Anolis sagrei: one gene and its partner. The protein of the gene in region 1 binds, or shares a complex with, the protein of each later gene. Links are inferred from orthologs where the notes say so. Each region holds a gene or a part of one and is shown on either strand. Other genes may lie near its edges.

Region 1 (8,337 bases):
CCACAACACCTACTTTGAACTGGGATAATAATAATAATAATAATGAAGAGTACAAAAAGATATTTGGGGAGTCTTGTGTTCCACTCTCAAGAAATGAAGAAACAGGAAAAATATATTAAAAATTCCCCTGAATCAGAGTCCAGCCATATAACCCAGAGTATCAAGGCAGGAAATCCCACAACATTATTATTTATAACCCGCCACCATCTCCTCAAAGGGGACTCGGGGCGGCTGACATGAGGCCAGGCCCAAAATAATACAACATAATTAAACACAAAATAACAAGAAAGTACATAACAAAAATATAAAATAACAAATAAAATCAAACACAGAGGGCGGGCCAGATGTATGAGGTGAAATGTTAAAACGTTATATGGCAGTGTGAACTTAGGGCCCTTCCACACAGTCCTATATCCCAGAATATCAAGACAGAAAATCCCACAATATCTGCTTTGAACTAGGTTATCTGAGTCCACGCTCAGATAATGAGGGATTTTCTGGGTTATATGGCTGTGTGGAAGCGCCCAGAGAGGAAGAGCTTTGCCACCCCATCCTACATGCTAGGCCGCTAGGCCCACTGATTTGACAAAGAAGACCTCTTTGGAAATATGGGGCAGGTCGTTTGGGAGAGATGGCCTTCAGCCACGGCCTGGGCTCCACTCCTAACACAGGGCCCTTCCACACAGCCATATTGGGGCAGGTAATTCACAATATCTGCTTTGAATTGGGTTGTTTGCGCCTACACTGCCATATGCAATGTATTTTAATTGTGCTATATTTTATTCTGTTTTTGTTGTGCATGGCCCCCATATAAGCCACCCCAAGCCCTTCCGGGGAGGTGGTGGCGGGATAGAATAATAAAATTATTATGATCATTATTATTATTACACAATCATATAATCCAGTTTTATGTGGATTTTATACAGGCATGTAGAAAGGGCCACAATCATAGATCAATGCCTGGGAAACCAAAGGCCCTTCCGCACAGCCCTATATCCCAGAATATTAAGGCAGAAAATCCCCCAATATCTGCTTTGACATGAGTTATCTGAGTCCACAATCAGATAATGTGGGATTTTCTGCCTTGATATTGTGAGATATAGGGCTGTGTGGAAGGGCTTCGGGCCCTCAAAGAAAACTCTGGAGGACACGTGTGAATGACTTTGATTTAAAAAACCCCAACTCTTTTGTTATATACAAAGGTAGACATTGGACCTCTTTCTTGACCATTTTAAGGATGCAATGTGCAACTCCTTCAACTTCCTGACAGAAGTAGCAGCTTTGCCCCACGGCCATATGCTGAGAACAAGGAAGGGAGGGGGGAGAGATAGAGAGAGAAATCCGCCCCACCCAGGGTCCTGCCACAGGCCACAGAGAACCTTTGAGGACCCTTCCACACAGCCATATAATCCTGAACATCAAGGCAGATAGCCCACATATCTACTTTGGATTGGGTTATCTGAGGTCCCCTCCACATAGCTGAATAAAATCCCAGATTATCTGCTTTGCAATATATGGCAGTGTGGTCTCAGGCCCTCCACACAGTCCTATATCCCAGAATATCAAGATAGGAAATTCCCAATTATCTGAGTGTGGACTCAGATAACCCAGTTCAAAGCAGATATTGTGGGATTTCCTGCCTTGATATCCTGGGATATAGGGCTGTGTGGAAGAGCCCTGAGATAACCCAGTTCAAAATAGATATTCTGGGATTTAGGGCTGTGTGGAAGGGCCCTGAGATAACCCAGTTCAAACTATATTCTGGGATTTTCTGCCCTGATATCCTGGGATATAGGGCTGTGTGGAAGGGCCCTGAAATAACCCAATTCAAAATACATATTATGGGATTTTCTACCCTGATATCCTGGGACATAGGGCTGTGTGGAAGGGCCCTGAGATAACCCAGTTCAAAATTGATGTTCTGATATCCTGGGATATGGGGTTGTGTGGAAGGGCCCTGAAATAACCCAGTTCAAAATAGATAATGTGGAATTTTCTACCCTGATATCGTGGGATATAGGGCTGTGTGGAAGGCCCTGAAATAACCCAGTTCAAAATAGATAATGTGGGATTTTCTACCCTGATGTTCTGGGATATAGGGTTGTGTGAAAGGCCCTGAAATAACCCAGTTCAAAATAGACATTGTGGGATTTTGTGCCCTGATGTTCTGTGCTATATGGCTGTGTGGAGGGGCCCTGAGTCCACACTGCCTTATAACACAGTTCAAAGCAGATATTGTGGGATTTTATACAGCTGTGTGGAAGGGGCCTAAGCCAGACTCTCCCCTCCCCAACCTTCCCACTTCTCTCGTTTTGGGCATCGAATCCTCCACCACCCCGCATTCCCCAAACACGTGTCATCAACACCAGGAATGGCCCCCAACAAGATCCAGGAAAGAGGCCTCTTTGTGCTCAGAATCGTATGGAAGGGGAGGGGGGACCATGATCCCAATTCCCACGCGACTGCTCGCCACGCTGGGCCTCAGCCACTTCCACGTTGAGAGCGAGCGAGCGAGCGAGCGAGCGAGCGAGCCGGTCCTTACAAGGCCTTCCTCCTCCCTTCCTTCCTTCCCCTTTGGCTACTTTCCTCGCCTCCCTTCCAACGGCCTTCCTTGAGCTTTGGGGCTTTTTCTTCCCGCGTTCCGAAGGGAGCCGGTGCCCAACGGCCTCCCTTCCCCATTCCCCATATGGGCTCCCTTCTTCCCTCCTGGCCTTCTTTGCCCCTTTTACCTGGCGAGACGGTCTTCTCCAAGATAGTAATGAGCTCCATGACGGCGCAGGCGGCGGCAGCGTGAGGTAAAAACTGGGAGGGAAAGGAAGGAAAGGGGGGAGAGGGAGAGAGGGGAGAGAGGCCGAGGCGGGAATCTGCTGCCGCCGCCGCCGCCTCAGTAGTTCGACGGCCCGTTGGTCTCTGCGTGTGCCTGCCTCCTTCTCGCGCGCTTTCCTCCTCCTCCTCCTCCTTCTTCTTCCCCCTCAGTTGCGGGGCGGCCCCACCCCCGCCCGCTTGCTTGCCTGCCTGCCCGCCCGCCGGAAGCGCCTCGACCTCTCTTCTACTACTTCCCCTCCCCCTCCCCAACCGGAAGAGGGGAAAGGAAGGAAGGAAGGAGGGAGGGAGGGAGGAGGGGAAAAAGGCGCGCGCGGCGAGGTGAAGCTAGTCCGAATGGGGAGGAGAGGGAGAGGAACTCAAGTGCGAGTGCGCATGCGCGCGCCTGCCTCCCCTCCCCTCCCTCATGCGTCTTCCCTCTCCCTTGTTTGACTGACTCCAACGAGGCCTTCAGTCACGTCAACGTCCGTTGGCGTAAAAAGGAGGCGAGCGTGCTCACGCACGGAACCAATGACAGCTCTTAGCCCCGCCTCTCAACCCCGTCGTTGCCTGTCTGTCATGCTCCGCTTCGGCCGCTTATTGGTCGAACGCCAGCCAACATCCAACCCGGCGCAGTTTTTTTAAATAGTCATAGAATCCTAGAGTTGGAAGAGACTAGACCTCATGGGCCATCCAGCCCAACCCCCTGCCAAGAAGCAGGAATATTGCATTCAAAGCACCCCTGACAGATGGCCACCTAGCAGTAAATGCAGGTCAAGAGGACACATGGGATTTGGATTTCTTACACATAATTATAGAATCATAGAATCAAAGAGTTGGAAGAGACCTCATGGGCCATCCAGTCCAACCCCCTGCCAAGAAGCAGGAATATTGCATTCAAAGCACCCCCGACAGATGGCCATCCAGCCTCTGTTTAAAAGCCTCCAAAGAAGGAGACTCCACCACACCCCCAAGCAGAGAGTTCCACTACTGAATGGCTTTCACAGTCAGGAAGTTCTTCCTAATGTTCAGATGGAATCTCCTTTCTTGTAGTTTGAAGCCATTGTTCCGCGTCCTAGTTTCCAAGGAAGCAGAAAACAAGCTTGCTCCCTCCTCCCTATGACTTCCTCTCATGTATTTATACATGGATATCATGTCTCCTCTCAGCCTTCTCTTCTTCAGGCTAAACATGCCCAGCTCTTTAAGTCGCTCCTCATAGGGCTTGTTCTCCAGACCCCTGATCATTTTAGTCACCCTCCTCTGGACACATTCCAGCTTGTCAACATCTCAGTCTCCCTGAATAATGTCTTGTTGAAGGCTTTCATGGGTAGCGGTGTGGCCATGTTCCAGAAGCATTCTCTTCTGACATTTCGCCCACATCTGCTGCTGAGTATGCATGCCCAGTGTGGAACACATCTCACCACGCTAAAACAGTGGATGTGGCTCTTAATGAAACATGCTGCATTATCACGGGGTGTCTGCGTTTACTACACCATTAGAGAAATTAAACTGCTTAGCCGGTATTGCACCACCTGACATCTGCCGGGAAGTAGCAACCAATAGTGAAAGGACCAAGGCAGTGACATCTCCAGCTCATCCCCTGTTTGGGTATCAGCCAGCACGTCAACGACTTAAATCAAGACATAGTTTTCTAAGATCTACAGAGACACTTGCTGGAACATCCCAGTAAGCAAGAGTCCAAAAGTGGCAGGCTCAAACCCAGAACCTCAACCAATGGCTGATACCAAATGAGAGACTCCCCCCTGGGCACTCAGAAGACTGGGCGACTTGGAAGGTGCTGAACAGACTGCGCTCTGGCACCACGAGATGCAGAGCCAACCTTAAGAAATGGGGCCACAAAGTGGAATCCACGACATGCAACTGTGGAGAAGAGCAGACTACAGACCACTTGCTGCAATGCAACCTGAGCCCTGCCACATGCACAATGGAGGACCTCCTTGCGGCAACACCAGAGGCACTCCAAGTGGCCAGCTACTGGTCAAAGAACATTTAATAGAATACCAAGCCTGCAAACTTTGTGTTTTGTCTATTTGTTTGTTTTTTGTTAAAAAATGCAATGCAGCTGTTTGGTCTGCCCCTGACACGATAAACAAACAAACAAACAAACAAACAAATAAATAAAATGGAGTCCTCAGTGGTGCAGTGGGTTAAATCCCTGTGCCAGCAGGACTGAAGACCGACTGGTCGCAGCTTCGATTCCGGGGAGAGGCGGATGAGCTCTATCAACTCCAACTCCTCATGCGGGGACATGAGAGAAGCCTCCCACAAGGATGATAAAAACATCGAGATCATCCGGGTGTCCCCTGGGCAACGTCCTTGCAGACACCCAATTCTCTCACACCAGAAGCGACTTGCAATTTCTCAAATCGCTCCTGACACAACAAAAAAAAAGAAGAAGAAAAGAAAAGAAGAAGGCTTTCATGGCCGGAATCACTGGATTGCGGAGTGGCCATGTTCCAGAAGTATTTTCTCCTGACGTTTCGTCCACATCTATGGCTGGCATCCTCAGAAGTTGTGAGGTCTGTTGGAAACTAGGAAAATTGTGTTTATATATCTGTGGAATGTCCAAGGTGGGAGAAAGAACTCTTGTCTGTTTGAGGCAAGTGGGAATGTTGCCACTGATCACCTTGAATAGCCTTGCAGCTTCAAAGCGTGGCTGCTTCCTTTCAACAGAAAGGAGGAAATTACAAAAATGCACAAAATCTGGCTACGAGTATTTTAAAAAATCTCTAAAATGAGAGTACTAAATAAAGAAGAACACTCAAAAACAAGGAAATTCCATGCAAGAAAAAAAATCAGGGTCAGCTAACACCCCCCCCCCCCCCCCCGTAAGATGTTAAGATTACAGCACAGGCTAGAATGGTATGACTAAATATGTTAAATAACTTTATTTTACTTCCCCCCGCATAATGCGAATATGTAATGTTATGATCTACGTATATAAACTAATAAAAAATCCAAAAAATGTTATACATATCTACACATAGTGCTGGTACAGCTGTACCAGGAGCTCCTATTTTGTTTGCTTTGCAGTTAATGTTTGTTTGCAATCCCAGGCTTGGGATTTTGCAGCAGGGTGGCTTCCTGTTATAGGCTGCAATCATAGGGTAAGCCACCTGTCAATTATCATTGGGTTTCCTGGTTCCGCCCCCTTCTTAGGTTTTGGAGGAAAGAGAGCCATTTCCAGTCAGTCTCAGCCAGCTTAGCCAATGTATAGGATGTGTTTGACTTCCCCTGTACAAAGGCTTCAAGCTTTAAGAAATTCCAGGGTTGCAGAGTTTAACAGAATCTCCAGGAAAAGAACTCCAGAGAAGCCTTCCTACAGCTTTGGGAGTTTCCAGGAAGACAGCCTTAAACTCGAAAGAACTCCAGCCGGAGCAAATCCATTGCCTTTCTGGTAGGTCCTCTCAGTTCGGCCTGGCAGAGGAGCCCACACCAGTGAGGTTTGGATTCATAGTTAGCCTTGGGAGAAGTTAAAAAAGGGGAATTTTCCTTTAAAGAAAGTTACAGAAGACAGTGCCTGTTCCTTGCGAACAAGTTTGAGAGAACTGATACCTTGAAAGCTTTACAATTCCTGTTAGATTCCTTAATAAAAGACTTTGTTGTACCTTTTTAAGTCATCTGAAGATTCCTTTTGTAAGGAAAGCCTCTGAGAACATTTCCTTAAGGCCCCTGGCCTCCCGCTGAGTAAAGGTTACACATCCTATATCTAAAGTCAATTAATTATAGGCCCAGTGGCGACGGAACACATAGGAAAAATTCACACACACACACATTATATCAGAAGAATTTTGTAATGAATGTTTTCTAAAAAAAAAAAGGTACATTTAGCTACAATATATGGTGACTCTGGGGATATCCTGTGGCATTACTTACACTACATTACTCTGTAAAATTCTAAAGTTGTCCCTTACTTCCTAATTGAAATAATTTAAAAAATGGCTTTCAATCTTTCTATCCAAAGACATTTAAGTGCTAATTTTGTTATCCCACTATCACACAAATATGTAAAGTCCGCATTTCTATTTTATCATGCTATCATATATCAATCAATGAGACATTAAAAGGAAATAAAAACAGTGACACTTGCAGAATTATATGTACTTAATCTTCAAATTCTGCAAGTGTCACTGTTTTTATTTCCTTTTAATGTCTCATTGTTTGCCCGTGTGTGTGTGTGTGTGTACAGAGCAGAGCTTTCCAAGCATTTCATGGTAACATACTTTTCAGACATTGCATCGTTTTGTGACAATAATTAAGTTTTACTAGCAAATCTGACATTAAACCTTATAAAAAAGTTGGATCTATACATACATTATGACGAAATGTGTGGGGACGTGAGATATCACAAAAAGTCTCATTTATATATTTTTAAAATATATGATTTCTAAGGTTAAACAGAGGCTGGATGGCCATCTGTCAGGGGTGCTTTGAATGCAAAATTCCTGCTTCTAGGCAGGGGGTTGGACTGGATGGCCCATGAGGTCTCTTCCAACTCTATGATTCTATGATAAGGTCGCTTCAGGTGTGAGAGAATCAGCCGTCTACAAAGACACTGCCCAGGATGTGTTACGATCCTGTGGAGAGGATATATAATAACATATATTTCCAAGATTTTTGTCATTTCTCGTGATGTTCACATGATGCACACAGTGCAGCCAATTTGGGGAAATTTTGAAGTAATTTAACCCAGAATATCAAGGCAGAAAATCCCACAGTATTTTCTTTGAACTGGGTTATCTGAGTTCACACTGCCATATATTCTGTTTCAGACCAGATACATGTGGGATTTGATTCAGCCGTGTGGAAGGGGCCTCAGAATGTACTATCTATACCAGGAATGGGCAACTTGGGGGTCTCCAGAGGCCAATAGTAGCCTCCAAATCCTCAGGAGTGACATGAATGCCCAAAAGATAATATGGAAGTATGAAGTCTACTTTTGATTTTGAAATGCAAACTATTAACAAATATTATTTGTGTATGTTGCATGATTGTTGTGAGGACACTTAGACCTACAGGCTATTTACACTGCGCCACATTTGCCATTAATGTCAAGTTGGTCGAGATCCCTTTAGAGCAGGCATGGGCAAACTTTGACCCTCCAGGTGTTTTGGACTCCAACTCACACAATTCCTTCTAGGAGCTCCAGTTTGCCTTCTTTTGTCATCTTCTCCCCAAAGTTTGGGCTGGAGGTCTGGATGAGACTGAGCTGTAGAGAAACGGCTTTAGGCTGTGTGTGTGGTCCCAGGGCTGCCTTGTCTGCCTTTGCTTAGGCTAATTGGGAAACATTCTTTCATATTTCAGGCAAAGGTTCTTTTCACTCCATCCTAGAGATGCCAGGATGCTAGTTGAGCTTGTTCTCTGCCGCTGAGCTATGGCCCTTACTGTTGAGATTTACTTTAAGAGACTTTAATTTAATTTAAGGCTGCTTTGGGATTTTTCAGTTTGTGTCTCTAATTGTGTGCAGCCTATTTTTTAAAATATAAAATAAGGTAATAACATTTTAGCAATACT
Region 2 (7,723 bases), on another chromosome or scaffold:
AAGGCAAAAGGAAGAGGGGCCGACCAAGGGCAAGATGGATGGACGGCATCCTTGAAGTGACTGGACTGACCTTGAAGGAGCTGGGGGTGGTGACGGCCGACAGGGAGCTCTGGTGTGGGCTGGTCCATGAGGTCACGAAGAGTCGGAGACGACTGAACGAATGAGCAACAACAACATTTACAGGCCCAACGCGCGACAGAACATGAGTCCTTTGTCCCACCCTGGTCATTCCAGAAATATATAAACCCATTTTCCTAGTTCAAACAGACCTCACTACCACTGAGGATGCTTGCCATAGATGCAGGCGAAACGTCAGGAGAGAATGCCTCTAGACCATGGCCATATAGCCCGAAAAAACCTACAACAACCCAATATTACAAACTACAAAAGGGCGAGAGGTGTTTGCAGAATCCTATTGTGCAAAAGTAGGTGCTTCCCAAGGCTTACCCAATGAAGTGACATGTCCTGACCACTGTCAAAGCCTCTTTGAGCGCACTCACTAACGCCTCCCCTCACAGGCGTTGCTAACTTCGAAGAGGCCTTCGCGCGGGTCCCTCCGCTGGGCATGTGTGGGCGCGCGCCTCTGCCCCGCAGCACGTGACGTCACGAGGCCGCGACAGGGAACGAGGGAAACCAAGGCCGAGGCACGCGCCTGTGTCCTGTGGGCCACCATGGACAGCTCACCGTCCTGGGCCCGCCCTCCAGGCCACCCGCCGGCCTTCAAGGCAAGGCAAACAGCTCCGCAAGGAGACAACCCGGTCCTGTTTTTTCCCCGCCTGGACTTCCGCCAGGCTTCCCCAGCGCGTGCCAGCAGCATTCACCACGGAGCTATATATAGAAGGAAACAGACTTTATGAATTAAATAACTGAATCCTTGCCCTCTTCGAAATTGAAAGTCAATCTAAAGGGGGGAAACGAGGGGGAGGGAGGGAGGGAGGAGAGAGACACACACAGAGCCTGCTCGAGTCTAAGAAGCAGGCTGCAAGTTTGGCAAAACATCCTTCGCTTGGTTGTTGTTTTTTCTTTCTTTCGCGAAAAAGAGATAAAAGAGGAGCAGCTCCGACGGGTCGAACCTGCTCGTGGAGCTCAGCGGTAGAGTTGAGTTGGAGGCAAAGATGGGATCGGGAGGCAAAAATATAAACACAATGCCAAAGGGGGAAGCGGCTCCCAGTTCCAAGGAGCAATGGCATCAAACTAAAGGAAAGGAGATTCCACCTGAACATGAGAAAGAACTTCCTGACTGTGAGAGCTGTTCAGCAGTGGAACTCTCTGCCCCGGAGTGTGGTGGAGACTTTGAAACAGAGGCTGGATGGCCATCTGTTGGGGGTGCTTTGAATGCTGTTGGGGGTTAGACTGGATGGCCCATGAGCAGACATGTAGCGGGGGGGGGGCGCTTTGGGGGCTTCAGCCCCCCCCCCCCCAAATTCTCATGGTGGCCCGCGAAAAGGCCTTACTGGTGCATTATTTAAACTGTTATGTTTATTCATATCATGATCTGATCACCATACTCAATATATCCCATATGCATGGGGGTATTGGGGTAACAATACAAAAGGTTTGCTAGGGTAAACACTCTTTCACTCAGACTCAGCCCCCCCCCCCGAATCAAACTCAGCCAGCCCCCCTCCCCCCCCCCCCCCCGAAACAAAATCCTGGCTACTGGCCTGCCCATGAGGTCTCTTCCAACTCTATGATTCTACTAGCCGTCCCCTGCCAGGCGTTGCTGTGGCCCAGTCTGGTGATCTGGAAAACAAAGTAATGAGAAAGTGTTGGTGTCTAATATATGTAATTTCTTTATGTTTGTGGGTAAACAGTATTTCTTGCTGTTTCTTTGTCAGTATTGATGTGGAGATTGTCTGGTTTGCCTACTCTGGAACATGCAACATATAATTGTCCTTCTTTAGGGGTCCCTTTCAAATCTAGGATACTATATCTGTGTGTGTGTGTGAATCATATATATCTATCTATATCTATGGCTGGATGGCTGTTTGTCAGGAGGGCTTTGATTATGTTTTCTTGCCCTAGTGAAGGGAGTTGGACTGGATGGCCTTAAGTTTGGGGGTTCTGTGTGGGAAGTTTGCCCCAGTTCTGTTGTTGGTAGGGTTCAGAATGCTCTTTGATTGTAGGTGAACTATAAATCCCAGTAACGACAACTCCCAAATGTCAATGTCTATTTTCCCCAAACTCCATCTTTGTTCATATTTGGTCATATGGAATATTTGTGCCAAGTTTGGTCCAGATCCACAGTGCTCTCTGGATGTAGGTGAACTACTACTCCCAAACTCAAAGTCAATGCCCACCAAACCCTTCTACTGTATTCTGTTTGTCTTGGAAGTCCTGTGTGCCAAGTTTAGTTCAATTCCATCAATGGTGGGGTTCAGAATGCTCTTTGATTGTTGGCGAACTGTAAATCCCAGCAACTATAACTCCCAAATGACAAAATCCATTTTTTGAGTTATGGTCACTCGTTGGCCTGATAGGTGTATTGCTATGGCCCACATGGGGGTTTTGTGTGGGAGGTTTGGCCCTATTTCTATTGTTGCTGGGGTTCAGAATGCTGTGTGACTGTAGGTGAACTATAAATCCTGGCAACTACAACTCCCAAATGTCAAGATTCTATTTTTCCCAAACCCCACCAGTGTTCACATTTGGGCATATTGAGTATTCTTGTAGAGTTTGGTCCAGATCCATCATTGTTTGAGTCCACAGTGATCTCTGGATGTAGGTGAACTACAATTCCAAAACCAAAGGACACTGCCCACCAAACCCTTCCAGTATTTTCTGTTGGTCATGGAAGAACTGTGTGCCCAGTTTGGTTCAATTCCATTGTTGGTGGGGTTCAGAATGGTCTTTGATTGTAGGTGAACTATAAATCCCAGCAACTACAACTCCCAAATGACAAAATCGTAATTTTTTTGAGTGAAGGACATACATTGGGTTATTAGGTGCCTTGTGTCCAAATTTGGCGGCAATTTGTCCAGTGGTTTTTGAGTTATGTTAACCCCACAAACGAACATTACAATTTTATTTATTTAGATAGATAGATAGATAGATAAGGTAGGTAAAGGTAGTCCCCTGACATTAAGTCCAGTCATGTCTGACTCTGGGGTGTGGTGCTCATCTCCATTTCTAAGCCAAAGAGCCAGCGTTGTCCGTAGACACTTCCAAGGTCATGTGGCCAGCATGACTGCATGGAGCGCCGTTACCTTCCCGCCGGAGTGGAACCTATTGATCTACTCACATTTGCATGTTTTCGAACTGCTAGGTTGGCAGAAGCTAGGGCTGACAGCGGAAGCTCACGCCGCTCCCCGGAATCGAACCTGCGACCTTTTGATCAACAAGCTCAGCAGCTCAGTGCTTTAACCCACTGCGCTACCGGGGGCTCCCTAGATAGATAGATAGATAGATAGATTAGATAGATAGATTAGATAGATAGATTAGATAGCTAGCTAGCTAGATTAGCTAGATAGATTAGCTAGATAGATAGATTAGATAGATAGATAAGATAGATAGATAAGATAGATAGATAAGATAGATAGATAGATAAGATAGATAGATAGATAGATGAGGGCTTTTGCAACCCCGCTCCGTGGAGATCGAAGCAGAAACAGGCAAGCCCACTCAGATCTCTGTGGAGAGCTCTTTCCAGCTCAATGTGGACCGTTATTTGGGAGTAAGTAGAGCTTCCCTTGAGGGAAGAGGTCGAGGCTTCCTGCCGAGCCCCTCCCCCCCTTTCCCTTCGAGGGCAGTTTCACAACTCGAGAGTGGCTCCCTCCCCGCAGTGCCAAGATTAGGAAATCAACAAAGACAGCCTTCCTCGGAAGTGAACGCTTGACAAACTCAGGCGTAAAATCAGATAAAGCGGTGCAAACTCGTGCCTCGGCACGTTGAGGGAAGGAAAGAAGGAAAGAAAGAGGAGGGAGACTTTGGAGCCTCTCTCACACTGAGGAGGAGCTTCGAGGTCCCAAGCACCCTTTGTGGACCACTTGGAGACCCCGAGGGGCGGGGACTCAGGTGAGGCGGCCAATGAGGCGACGAGGGCGTGGTTGGCTCATCTGCTTTGAGGCACGTGGCTCGCGCCGCCCAACCAGTCTCGCGCCCCTGGGCGCGCCTCGGAGAGCCCGCGTGAGCGTCACGTGACGGGAGGACAACCCCAGCGCGCGGGCTCGACGTCTTTGGCGAGTCAACCCAAAAAGGGGAATCTCCCCCCACCACTCTCTCTCACCCCCTCCTTTTCCTCGCTTCCCTTATATAGGAAGAGACTCCCTCTCGGAGCCTTCACTGAGGCAACAGGGAGGCGGGAAGGAAGCAACTGCTTCATCGTTATGACAGAAAGGAGTCAAACCTAGAATCGGATTATTCGCTGCCACTGGCCTGTCAGAGAGAGAGAAAGAGAAGCAGAGAGGACCCCTAGAAGTGGGTGCTGCCCAGGAAACGGGGCTGACTTCTAGGAAGGCAAAGGAAAAGTAAGGCTTCGGGGTTGTCTTGTTTGTCTGGGTTTTGGTCGTGTCAGGAGCGACTTGAGAAACTGCAAGTCGCTTCTGGTGTGAGAGAATTGGCCGTCTGCAAGGACGTTGCCCAGGGAACGCCTGGATGATTTGATGTTTTTATCATCCTTGTGGGAGGCTTCTCTCATGTCCCCGCATGAGGAGCTGGAGCTGAATGAGGGAGCTCATCCTCCTCTCCCCATATTCGAACCTGCGACCTGTCGGTCTTTAGTCCTGCCAGCACAGGGGTCCTGCCAGCGTTTGTCTGGGTGCAAAACAACTATTCCAAGAGTGATGAGGTAGAATGTGGGGATTTGGGACCGGTGTGGCGCAGTGGGTTAAAGCACTGAGCTGCTGAGCTTGTTCACTAGAAACGTTAAAAAAGAATCTTAAAACCTGGCTCTTCCGCTGTACCTTTGGTGACCATGACATTTTGCACCCCCCAACGTTTTCTGCTACTGGATTGTGCACCCTCCAAATGGGAAGTTTAGCCTAACAACTCTGTGTTTTTATGAGTTTCCCGTAAATGTCCTGCTCCTATTTTATCTCATTACAGTCTTTTAATTGTTTTATCCTGTATATGCGGCCCACCCATTGTTATCGTTACTGTGATTGTCTTTATTACAATGTTATTTTATGATTGCCTTTTCCCCCTTCTCTTATGTAATTATGATGATGTTGTAGTTTGTTAGTTGTTTATGTTTTGATTTTATTGCTGTAATATGTTGTCCGGGCTTGGCCCCATGTAAGCCGCTCCGAGTGCCCACCGGGGAGATGGTGGCGGGGTATAAATAAAGTACTGAAGACCGACAGGTCACAGGTTCGAATCCGGGGAGAGCCGGATGAGCTCCCTCTATCAGCTCCAGCTCCTCATGCGAGGACATGGGAGAAGCCTCCCACAAGGATGATAAAACATCAAATCATCCAGGCGTCCCCTTGGCAACGTCCTTGCAGACGACCAATTCTTTCACGCCAGAAGCGACTTGTAGTTTCTCAAGTTGCTCCTGATACGACCAAAAAAAGTATTATTATTACGGACCAAAAGGTCACAGGTTCAAATCCGGAGAGCAGCACGAGCTTCCGCCATCAGCCCCAGCTTCTGCCAACCTAGCAGTTCATAAACATGCAAATGTGAGTAGATCAGTAGGTACCGCTCCAGCACTCCATGCAGTCATGCCGGCCAGATGACCTTGGAGGGGGGTCTATGGACAATGCCGGCTCTTCGGCTTAGAAATGGAGATGAGCACCACACGCCCAGAGTCGGACATGACTGGACTTAATGTCAGGGGAAAACCTTGGTGGTCCAGGATGGGGATTGAGGGAGTCCCTGTCTGTGGGCCTCCTCACAGGCAGCGCTTCTCTAAACAGCTCTGGCCCAAATAACCTGTCCGAACACATCTCCCCCTATGAACCATCACAGAGATCCTCCGGGGAGGCCCTGCTTTCTGTCCCGCCATTGTCACAGGCGCGATTGGTGGGGACGAGAGACAGGGCCTTCTCGGTGATTGCTCCCCGGCTATGGAACTCCCTTCCTGGTGAGATCTGGTCGGCCCCCTCCCTCCTGTTCTTTAGAAGGGTGGGAAAGACTTGGCTGTGGGACCAAGCTTTCGGGACAGGGCAATGAAACGACAATGGGAAAGATGACAGGGCCAATTGGATTTGATGCAGATGGCTAGGAAGGTTTTAAATGGTGTATTTAGTATTTTGATAAATGAGTTGTTGTAGGTTTTTCCGGGCTATATGGCCATGTTGTAGAGGCATTCTCTCCTGATGTTTTGCCTGCATCTATGGCAAGCATCCTCAGAGGTAGTGAGGTCTGTTGGAACTAGGAAAATGGGTTTATATATCATCATCATCATCATTTAATTACTTATTAATTGCCCTCCATCCAAGATGCTCTCTAGGCGATTTACAAGCTAAAATGGTAAAGGATAAAAATACATACAGATATTGATAAAATTAACATAGATCATATATCTGTGGAATGGCCAGGGTGGGATAAAGGACTCTTGTCTGCTGGAGCTAGGTGTGAATGTTTCAACTGACCACCTTGATTAGCATTTGATTAGATGTCCCTGATTGTTTTCCCTCTGTTGTTTTGCTGTTGTAATTTTAGAGGTTTTGAATACTGGTAGCCAGATTTTGTTCATTTTCATAGTTTCGTCCTTTCTGTTGAAATTGTCCACATGCATGTGGATTTCAGTGGCTTCTCTGTGTAGTCTGACATGGTGTTTGTGAGAGTGGTCCAGCATTTCCGTCTTCTCAAATAATATGCTGTGTCGGTTGGTTCATCAGGTGCTCTGCTACCAGGGACATCTAATCACCTCTCAACAAAAGATTGCCCCAGTCACTGCCAGGCCATCAAATGCTAATCAAGGTGGTCAGTTGAAACATTCACACCTAGCTCCAGCAGACAAGAGTTCTTTGTCCCACCCTGGTATTTATTTGTCGTGTCAGGGCAACCAGTCAGTTGTATTACATTTCTAACAGAACAAAACAAACAAACAGAAAAAAACACAAAATTTGCAAGTTTGGTAGTTGATTAAATGTCCTTTGACCAGTATCTGGCCACTTGGAGTGCTTCTGGTGTTGCCTCAAGAAGGTCCTCCATTGTGCATGTGGCAGGGCTCAGGGTGCATTGCAGCAGGTGGTCAGTGGTTTGCTCTCCTCCACACTTGCATATCGAGGATTCAACTTTGTAGCCCCATTTCTGAAGGTTGGCTCTGCATCTCGTGGTGCTAGAGCGCAATCTGTTCAGCGCCTTCCAAGTCGCCCAGTCTCCTGTGTGCCCGGGGGGGGGGGGGGGAAGGGAGTTTCTCATCTGGTATCACCCATGGATTGAGGTGCTGGGTTTGAGCCTGCCACTTTTGGACTCTCGCTTGCTGAGGTGTTCCAACCAGTGTCTCTGTAGATCTTAGAAAACTATTTCTTGATTTAAGTCGTTGAGGTGCTGGCTGATACCCAAACTGGGGATGAGCTGGAGATGTCTCTGCCTTGGTCCTTTCACTATTGGCTGCTACTTCCCGGCGGATGTCAGGTGGTGCAATGCCGGCTAAGCAATTATTATTATTATTATTATTATTATACATGGCTATCCTATCTCCTCTCAGCCTTCTCTTCTTCAGTCTAAACATGCCCGGCTCCTTAAGCCGCTGCTCATAGGGCTTGTTCTCCAGACTCTTGATCATTTTAGTCGCCCTGAGCCCCATTTGGGGTGAGAAGGGAGGAATATAAAT

What was found.
Region 2: the proteins of KPNB1 (region 1) and PTHLH are in contact, whole or in part, in a crystal structure (PDB 1M5N), measured with the Homo sapiens proteins. The link is inferred for Anolis sagrei from reciprocal best matches to the Homo sapiens genes KPNB1 and PTHLH. Residues at the interface, in NP_002256.2 of Homo sapiens: Val55, Tyr104, Pro106, Gln111, Glu152, Tyr156, Gln159, Asn196, Leu199, Asn200, Gln239, Glu274, Gln278, Glu281, Asp288, Ile295, Ser298, Glu299, Asp339, Asp340, Trp342, Val350, Met353, Glu395, Trp430, Arg434, Glu437, Asn469, Trp472; in NP_945316.1 of Homo sapiens: Tyr103, Thr105, Gln106, Glu107, Thr108, Asn109, Lys110, Val111, Glu112, Thr113, Tyr114, Lys120, Thr121, Pro122, Gly123, Lys124, Lys125, Lys126, Lys127, Lys129.

What each region holds. Positions count from the first base shown.
Region 1 is NC_090026.1:34,784,987-34,793,323, forward strand, and holds the start of KPNB1 (importin subunit beta-1), read right to left. Parts: upstream 3,190-8,337; 5' UTR 2,770-3,189; coding exon 2,730-2,769; intron 1-2,729.
Region 2 is NC_090025.1:102,553,997-102,561,719, reverse strand, and holds the start of PTHLH (parathyroid hormone-related protein), read left to right. Parts: upstream 1-4,278; 5' UTR 4,279-4,466; intron 4,467-7,723. UniProt on the Homo sapiens protein: Neuroendocrine peptide which is a critical regulator of cellular and organ growth, development, migration, differentiation and survival and of epithelial calcium ion transport.